Macaca fascicularis: one gene and its partner. The protein of the gene in region 1 binds, or shares a complex with, the protein of each later gene. Links are inferred from orthologs where the notes say so. Each region holds a gene or a part of one and is shown in the gene's direction. Other genes may lie near its edges.

The links. Proteins that work in one complex are often made in the same cells at the same time.
Region 2: LSM11 (region 1) and LSM10 share a complex: the UniProt entries of both Homo sapiens proteins name them as parts of the heptameric ring U7 snRNP complex. The link is inferred for Macaca fascicularis from reciprocal best matches to the Homo sapiens genes LSM11 and LSM10.

The regions. Positions count from the first base shown.
Region 1 is NC_088380.1:164,546,727-164,551,495, forward strand, and holds the start of LSM11 (U7 snRNA-associated Sm-like protein LSm11), read left to right. Parts: upstream 1-1,603; 5' UTR 1,604-1,615; coding exon 1,616-2,063; intron 2,064-4,769. UniProt on the Homo sapiens protein: Component of the U7 snRNP complex that is involved in the histone 3'-end pre-mRNA processing. Increases U7 snRNA levels but not histone 3'-end pre-mRNA processing activity, when overexpressed. Required for cell cycle progression from G1 to S phases.
Region 2 is NC_088375.1:198,523,170-198,527,952, forward strand, and holds the start of LSM10 (U7 snRNA-associated Sm-like protein LSm10), read left to right. Parts: upstream 1-1,552; 5' UTR 1,553-1,744; intron 1,745-4,783. UniProt on the Homo sapiens protein: Appears to function in the U7 snRNP complex that is involved in histone 3'-end processing. Increases U7 snRNA levels but not histone 3'-end pre-mRNA processing activity, when overexpressed. Required for cell cycle progression from G1 to S phases.

The DNA.
Region 1 (4,769 bases):
AACCACCTAGAGAAACGTGCTTTCTGTGGGTCTTAAATGACACTATAAAGGCTATCACTCAGTGTTGTTATATGATGTGGGGATAAGCATTCATTTGTTGAATTGCCAGCAGTTCTGCAGCTTCGAGTTTTTTATTCAGGCAGGGGGTTCTGAATAAAGTGATAAGCTGCGTTCAAAACCTGTGCCATAAAGAAACCTGTACTGCTACTAATTAGAAGCCACTGCTTGGTTTTTCTTTTCTTTTCTTTTCTTTTTTGAGACGGAGTCTCGCTCTGTCACCCAGGCTGGAGTGCAGTGGTGCGATCTCGGCTCACTGCAACCTCCGCTCCTCCAGGTTTAAGCAGCTCTCTCCCTCAGCCTCCGGAGTATCCGGGATTACAGGTGCGTGCCACCATGCCCGGCTAATTTTTTGTATTTTTAGTAGAGATTGGGGGGGAGGTATCACCATCTTGGCCAGGCTGGTCTTGAACTCCTGACCTCGTGATCCACCTGCCTCGGCCTCCCAAAGTGCTGGGATTACGGGCGTGAGCCACCGCGCCCGGCCTGCTTGATGGTTTTATCTTTGCAGTAGAATGCATTCATCCCAAGGTATACATCACAGTTGTATATTAATTTTCATCTTGCTGTCTAAGGTACTCTCCAGTACTCTCTTGGAGACATCCTCTCTAAGTCTTAAGGAAACTGAAATGTACACAAAGCAACTAGTACAGAGAACACTAGTTGATGGCAGTTCAAGAATGTGGTGATGGGCAAGTGATGTGTGGCCTGTAGGTGAGTGGAAACATTTTGGCTCTGATGGATGAGAAGGTTGTATCTGGGCCTTCTGTGTAGAGTAGACTGTCATTTTAAAATCAACCAAAAAATATTTTGCCGAACTGAGACTATAAAGTAGCAAGTGGTATGATCAGGTCTTGTGAATTTTCCATAGTTTCCTCCAAGAGCTGGATCCTCGTTTCTTCCAATTGCTTAGCAATGCTTAGAAAGACAGTGATATAATGAATTTTCTTTGATACTAAGCGCAAATTTGTTTATGCACAGTGTATAGGAAATGGAGGACAGACACCCAGTATTGGCCGACATGCATCTATTATGAGCTCTGTAGGCAGTATCTCCCCATCCTGAGGTCAGTTCTATAAGGTAGGTACTATTTATGTCATATTTCAGATGAGAAAGACGCTAAATACTTTGAGCCCAAGGAGGCTATTCTTCCCACCCCATCAGTAGTACTCAGCATGGAAGCAAATTGAGACATTCATTGCCTTCCTCCAGACGTTTCCTGCAGCTCAAGCGAGGATGCGATCCCGAGCTTATTCCCGGGGAACCCAGAGTATTAACAAACACCCTAAGTGGTAATGATATAGATGGGGAAACTGCATTGGAGCAGGTCAAGCAGCAGCCGACAGCGTTAACCTGTCAGCCGTGGGCGGAGGCGGTGCGAGGCGCGGGCTGGTCGGAGCCGCGCACCACGCCCCCCGGCCGGGGTGGAACGAGGACAGGTGCTGCCCTCCGGCGGCCGCGTCGGCGCAGTGCAACCCCGCGCCGCGGCTGCGCAGTGCCGCCCTCTGGCGGCTCCGCTCCTTCTTCCCATCGGCCTCGGCTTGCGGGCCTTTCAAACATGGAGGAGCGGGAGCGGGGGGCGAGGTCGGCTCGCGCCCCGAGTCCCGCGCGCCCGCCCAGCCCGCGGCTGGATGTCAGCTCTGACAGCTTCGACCCGCTGCTGGCGCTGTACGCGCCCCGCCTGCCTCCCATCCCCTACCCCAATGCCCCCTGCTTCAACAACGTGGCGGAGTACGAGAGCTTCCTCAGGACCGGGGTCCGGGGCGGCGGGCGCGGGCGCGGGCGGGCTCGGGGCGCGGCCGCGGGCTCGGGGGTTCCCTCCGCGCCCGGGCCCTCAGGCAGGACTCGCCGCCGCCCGGACGCGCCCGCCCCGGACCCCGAGCGCATCCAGCGTCTCCGCCGTCTCATGGTGGCCAAAGAGGAAGGGGACGGAGCCGCAGGAGCGGGCCGGAGGGGTCCCGGTCGAAGCAGGAAGGCGCCACGCAACGTGCTCACGCGAATGCCCTGTGAGTCCGCGGTCCGGGCGGGAAGCGGGGCCGCCGCCGTCCGGAAGCTGGCGGCCGAGGGGGCGTCTGCGGGGCGGCGGTGGCCGGGCGCGGGTCTGCACGGATTGTGGGAGCGCCTTGGAGATTTGCGGGGATCAGCAGCGACTGTGGGGTGGAACTGCTTGAGTAATGTAGGTAATGACGGCGTGGGGAGGGTCCCTCTGAGTAAGAAAAGGGGCTGTAGGAGCAACAGAGGGAGAGTGGTGAGGCTATAGTGGTGATAAGAAGCCGTGGGAAAGGTCTGTAGAGGTAATCGGGGCCCATGGAAGGGTCAGAGGTGATGAGCCTGCGGAGAGGGTCTACAGGATTGATGGAGGACCTGGAGAGGTGGCGGGGGCTACAGAGTTTGGGGGACATCAGAGGGACGTCTGCAGAGGTGATGAGAGGTCTTAGAGACCACAGTGAGAGGTAAGGTGGGGCGGAAAAGGAGACGTGAGGGGAGAGCACAGCCAATATTAGGGGAAGGAGAGTATTTGGTCAGTGGGATTTGAGGAGGATCGGATGGAGTGTGGGGAGATCTGTTCGGATAGCACAGGCGCATAATCCCATAACCCCTGTACATTGACAGCTCCTTCTTGAGTGCGATAAGCAGAAGGGCTGCAGGGTCTTGATACACATATGTTCACATTACTAAGTCACAAGTGCTGAAATGCAGCAGGCACAGAATGCCTCTAAAACACAGACGCTGTTTTACAGCCACTCTGCCTGGCTGGGTGCAGGACTGTGTCTGTCAGGCTCATATTACCATATGTGCAGATTATTTTAAGTTCTAAAGGTGTAAATGGCACAAGGGAATTTCTTGGAGCCTCCTAATAGATCCTTAGAGTAAAGCTGTAAACAGCAGAGGCTCTAATGTGTGAGTTAAGTCTTGTATAAATGGAATAAAAACAGCCTAGGGTTATCTCTTTTGTCATCTGGCAAGCAGTTCTGACATCTGCCCTGTGAACACAATGACCTACTTAGCTATTCAAAGCATCTGTATCCTGGTGATTCAATTGTTACCTTATTAAGTCACTGCCTTTTGGATGGAGAGGTGTGCCAAGCAAGGGACTGATTTTCTTCCTTCCTAGAAATTTGTTTATTAAGAGAGAAACATCCTGAAACGCTGTGTGCTGTTATGTGTGCCTTTGCTGGATGTCTTACCATGCCACAGCATCCCTGCCCAAGCTAGGATTTACCCCGGCTTGCTTGCCCGGCTGTAACACAAAGACAGTATGCATGTTCCCAAAACGAGAGCAGTTTGGGGGACCTTAATTTGCCTATGCAATTTGCCACCATTAGCTAGTTGAAATGCACTCTTAAGTCTCATTGCAACATTTATTTCTATTTTACCAGTTATTGCGTTGCTACCAAGATTATCAAGGGAAAGGAATATTACTGTGTATTGCTATGTGGTGGGTGGTTTTGGCTTTCCCTGTAGAGCACTTCACTGTAATGATATGACAGTGTGTGAAGACCAGCTTTGTCAACTTCTTGTGATTAAGTATACCCCTGGAATTAAGATCTCAGAGAATGTGTCCTACATACTGAAAATTTTCACCATGGCACTGCAGACAGTTGGGTGTACATGAGAGACAGGTGTTGACGTCACACAGAGTTGACCTTCAGAAAGCAAGAAAACAACAGAAACATGGGTGAGGATTGGATTTATTCAAGAAAGAGTTCCTACTTGAGGGTGAAGGGTGGGAGGGGGGTGAGAATCAGAAAACTACCTATCGGGTACTATGGTCACTACCTGGGTGACAAAATAATTTGTGTGCCAGACCCCAGTGACACATGATTTACACATGCAGCAAACTTTTCACGTACCTCCTGATCCAAAAACAAAAGTTGGAAGGGAAAAAGAAAAGAACTAGGTATATTTTATGTGTATGCCACAGTTTTAATTTAAAAAACTATATATACATATATATATATATGCCTACTCTAAACCCTGATTGGATACAGTTGCTCAGAAAAATCAAAATATAGATACCAGTAAGATAAAACTATTTGTGGACATATACAAATGCTTTCTGGAAAAAAATGGCTATGCATTTGAGAATGCTTAATTCTTTGCAAAATATTTACATAAAATGTAAGTTACATCAGGCCGTAACAGCAAACAGAAGGTTTGTTAGGTCATATCATCAATGAAACATAATGAAGAATACAGGAGGAGCTACATTTTGTTGCTGACTTTAAAATGCTGTATTTCATCAATTCAGATCCAAGTTACCCATCCAAGTTCACAGACAGGACAGTGTGGAAGGAGTGCAAAATTAAGTGTAATGGTGTTTTAACCATAAAATGTTTCACTTTGTATCTCTGTCATAGAATCTCTTTGAAGTCCCTTGTGGAGCAGTCCTATTCTTTTCCTTGCAGTAATAAAATTTTAAAAGTAGCCAAGCACAGTGGCTCACACCTGTAATCCCAGCACTTTGGGAGGCTGAGGTGGGCGGATCACTTTAGGCCAGGAGTTCAAGACCAGCCTGGCCAACATGGTCAAACCCTGTCTCTACTAAAAATAGAAAAGTTAGTTGGGCGTGGCAGCATCTGTCTCTAGTTCCAGCTGCTCAGGAGGATGAGGCACGAGAATCGCTTGAACCCTGGAGGTGGAAGCTGCAGTGAGCCGAGATCATAGGACATCATAGGGATGTCTACAGAGGTGATAAGAGGTCTCAAAAA
Region 2 (4,783 bases), on another chromosome or scaffold:
GACACGGTGAGACCCTGTCTCTACAAGTAAATCAAATCACGTTGCTCCCTTTCAATAGCCTATCATAGCACTTCTAGTACTAGTTGAGAAGACGGAAGCACAGAGAAGATAGCTAACTTGCCCAGTCACAGCCAGGAGCAGATTTGAGCCTAGGCACTGTATCCGGAGGCTGCACTCCTAACCATGAAATCTAAACTCCTTACCTTGGCTCACAAAGTCCTATATGCTCTGGCTCCTGCTTCCTCTCTGGTCTCTTGTTATACCACTCTCCCCAGCTTCCCTGGCCTTTCCTGTGTTCCTAAATTGTCAAGGTCATTTCCCCCAGGTTCTTTGCATGAATTGTGAAAAGAAAAAAATTGACTTTTAATTGGTGATTTGGCTTTTATTTGCTAAATTTGTTAAATTTGGGTTTTATTTGCAACTCTAGAATTGGGCAACATCTCATTCTATAAAACGGAATGAGTGTTCAAATAAGCTGAGCAGAGGAGATTAGTTTTACAGACAGAAAAGGGCTGAGGAAAGCAGAAACAGAAAACAAAAAGCAGATTGGTTGTTTCAAAGTTACTTTCCTTGTAACTTTGAAGGCTAAAGCAGAGGGGACTTCCTTATCCTGCCAGCTAAAACTGGATGGTTTGGAGATTTAAGTATCTCTCACTCTTCTGATTTATCTGAATATCAGATAAGCAACTTAGTTTCCACTTGGTGATGTGGAACTTTAGCATGAGTGACTCCATTTTGGTTTTGTCTGTTGGGCTTGGTGCAGGAGCCCTGTCCAAACCAATGGCTGCCTTTTTTTTTTTTTTTTTTCTTTGAGACGGAGTCTTGCTCTGTTGCCCAGGCTAGAATGAAGTGGTACAATCTGAGCTCACTGCAGCCTCCACTTCCTGGGTTCAGGCAATTCTCCTGCCTCAGCCTCCCGAGTAGGTGGGACCAGAGGTGTACACTACCACAGTGGGCTAATTTTTTCTATTTTTTGTAGAGACAGGGTCTCCCTATGTTGCCCAGACCAGTCTCGAACTCCTGGGCTCCAATGATCCTCCCGCTTTCTCCTTCCAAAGCGCTGGGATTACAGGTGTGGGCCTCCGCGCCCAGCCCTGCCTCCTATAAATTTTATTTAACAAACTGTTCCCTCTAATTGCAATGCTCCGCCCATAGTTTTCACAAGCTTGGCGTCATGTCACTAATCCCAACTCAAATGTCACCTTCTCAGGACACCCCTGACAATCCAATAAAAGACCACCTAGTCACTACCACGTCACACTTTCAATCTTCTAAAGAACTTTTTCCCTATTTTTCTTGTTTGTTTTCCTAAGACTCTCTCCCCTGCAGCGCCATCAGCTCGGGGAGCCACTTGATCTTGGTCACTGCTCTATGCCGGAGCCTAGGAAGCAGCCTGGCCCAGGGTGCCCGTTCAAGAACGCGTGCGGAGTGAATGAACGACTAGTGAAGGAGACTTCAATGACGCAGGCCGGCATTTGCTGAGCGCGAGCCCCGCGCCGCGAAGCATTCTGGGAATCGTAGTTTCTCCGTGCCGCGATGACTCGCAGAGCACAGACGCACTCTGCGCCGGGAGGACAGAGCGGCCCGGTCGCCGGCGTGGTTTCTCCGTCCTGCTGCAGCCGGCGGGAGGCAGCCCGTCCAGGCGCCCGCTAGCTTCGGCGGCGACCCAGACGGGGAAAGCGGAAGGAATGTCGCGTGGTGGGTCCGGGTCGGCGGTGCAGGGAGCCGCGGGGCGGAATGTGGGGTATGCCAGGACCTCCGGAAGGAGGTGCCGGAGCCCAGGAAGCGTTTTCTTCCCCATTTACCGAGTATAGCTCATTTCCCCAGACCCGCTCCCGCTGCTCTGAGTAAGGGGTGCTCATCCCGTTTTACCGGTAGCTTAGCTAGCTTGGAGAAGCTAAGTGGTTTGCTAAGTGGTCTCCCTCCTAGAAGGTGGCAGAGCCTGTCCTAGAACCCGGGCCTGACTCGAGGTCTAGTGATTGCTCTTTGCAGTCGCAGCAGCAACCCCATACCTTTGCTTGATCGCAGATTCGTCAGGCTGCAGCCTGGTGGCTGGTCGTTAGGCCCTGCCCAAGGACTTAGCTCCCAGCCCCGCTCATCACTGGCCTAGTCTAGCTTGCCACGCTCAGTGCCACACTGCACAGCCCTGGACGGGATGCTGAGTGAGGTCGTAAAGAGAGAGCGTTGCACCCCCGTTAACTCAGGGTCTGAAAATAAGGGATAGGTAAGACCTAGTGCACTAATACAATATCGGGGTACGTTGAAATCAAAGGAGAGTACCTTCAGTGGAGTGTGATTCTGGTAGCTTTGTTTCGCCTGTAGTTTAATAAATGTGGAAACAGGTTCAGAGACATTAACTTTTCTAGGTTTACATAATTAGGGGTGGAGTGGGGATTCCAGCCTGGGTTTCTCTACCTTCAAAACCTATGTACCTTATATACTACCGGTTGGGTTTCCCCCCCCCCCAATTCATTATCTAGATTTATTTTCTTTCTTTTTTTTTCTGAGAGTCTCGCTCTGTCACCCAGGCTGGAGTGCAGTGGCACAATCTTGGCTCACTGTAACCTCTGCCTCCTGGGTTCAAGCGATTCTCCTGCTTCAGCCTCCCAAGTAACAGATTACAGGTGCTCCCATGCCCAGGTAATTTTTGTATTTTTAGTGGATACTGGGTTTCATCATGTTGGCCAGGTGGGTCTTGAACTCCTGACCTCAGGTGATCTACTCCCCTTGGCCTCCCAAAATCCTGGGATTACAGGCGTCAGCCCCTGCGCCCAGCCTCATTACCTAAATTTCTACTTACCTAACAGCTGCATGGTATAGACCAATAGTTCCCAGAGTGTGGGCCCCTGACCAGCAGCATCAGCATCACCTGGGAATATGTTCGAAATGACTCTCTCTGGCCTCACCTCAGACCTCCTGAGTCAAACTGGGAGTGGGGCCCAGCAAGCTGAGATAACAGGCCCCTCAGATGATTCTGATACACACTGTATGTATCAGATGATTCTGATAATGTATGAGAACTACTGGTGTCAAGCACTGAGTCTCAAACCTTCACGTGTATCTAATTCACATACGGGGTCATGTTGAAATGCAGAGTCTGTTTCCAGTCAGTGTGGAAGAATGGCAGTGAGCCACTCAGTGAAGGAGTGGATTATCTCAGAACAGGCCTGGGGAGAGACCTGAGATTATGCATTTCTAACCAGTACCCCTCAGCACTTTGGAGTTACCTGGGGAGCTTTTTTTCTTCTTCTTTCTTTTTTTTCTTTTTTTTTTTTTTTTTTTGAGATGGAGTCACTCCGTCGCCCAGGCTGGAGTGCAGTGACGTGATCTCGGCTCACTGCAAGCTCTGCCTCCCATGTCCACGCCATTCTCCTGCCTTAGTCTCCCCAGTAGCTGGGACTACAGGTGCCGCCACCATGCCCGGCTAATTTTTTTGTATTTTTAGTAGAGATAGGGTTTCACCGTGTTAGCCAGGATGGTCTCGATCTGACCTCATGATCCGCCCACCTCGGCCTCCCAAAGTGCTGGGATTACAGGCGTGAGCCACTGCGCCCGGCTGGAAACTTTTACAAAATAGGAAATCTGGGCCCACCCCTCTAACCAAATGAATCAGAATCTGGGGTGGGGAAGGTCGAGTTAAAAACTCGCCAGATGATTCTAATGTACACCTGGTGTGAGGTTTGGAGCCAGGCGGCTATGGATTTTTTTTTTTTTTTTTTTTTGAGACAGAGTCTCTCTCATGCAGGCTGGAGTGCGGTGGCATGATCTTGGCTCACTGCAGCCTCCACCTCCCGGATTCAAGCGATTCTCCTGCCTCAGCCTCCGGAGCAGCTGGGATTATAGGTGCACACTACCATGCCCGGCTAATTTTTGTATTTTTAGTAGAGACAGGGTTTTACCATGTTGGCCAGGCTGGTCTTGAATTCCTGGCCTCCGGCGATCCACCCGACTCAGCCTCACAAAATGCTGGGATTACAGGTGGGAGCCACCATGCCTGGCCTACGGCTACGGATTTGAATTCCAGCAATTCCACTTATTTACTGTGACCTTGGTCAAGTTACCTCTCCTAGCCGTATTTTTTGTTTTTAAAAGTTATTGATTTATTTAAATTAATGTATTAGGAATGATACTGACTTTTGTTGTTGGTCCTAATAATTTATCTTGAATTCTCAATGTAGATAATCATATAATTGACAAACAAGGACAGTGATCTTCCTTTATAATTATTGTTTCTCTAAATTCTTTCCCTTCCCTTCTTTCTGTAATCGTTTTTTTGAACGTTGCATTGACCATTACCTACGTTTTACTGTTGATTAGAAGCCATAAAAGGCATCCTTTTCTTGTCCCTGGCTCAATAGAAATGATCATCATTTTCTTTATTTTTTGAGACAGAGTCTTGCTCTTGTTGTCCAGGCTGGAGTGCAATGGCGCGATCTTGGCTCATTGCAATCTGCCTCCCGGCTTCAAGCAATTCTCCTGCCTCAGCCTCCTGAGTAACTGAGATTACAGGCGTGTGCCACCACGCCCAGCTAATTTTTTGTATTTTTAGTAGAAATGGTGTTTCACCGTATTAGCCAGGCTGGTCTCAAACTGAGTGGATCTCGCTATGTTGCCCAAGCAGGTCAGCAGAACTCTTGGGCTCAAGTGAAGCTCCTCCCTCAGTCTCCTGAGTAGCTGGTACTACAGGTGTATCCCAGTGTGCCTGGCCATCCTAGCCATATTTTTCTCATTCATAAAATAAGCATAAGTAATCCTTGGCTTGCAAGTTGGTGTGAGGATTCCA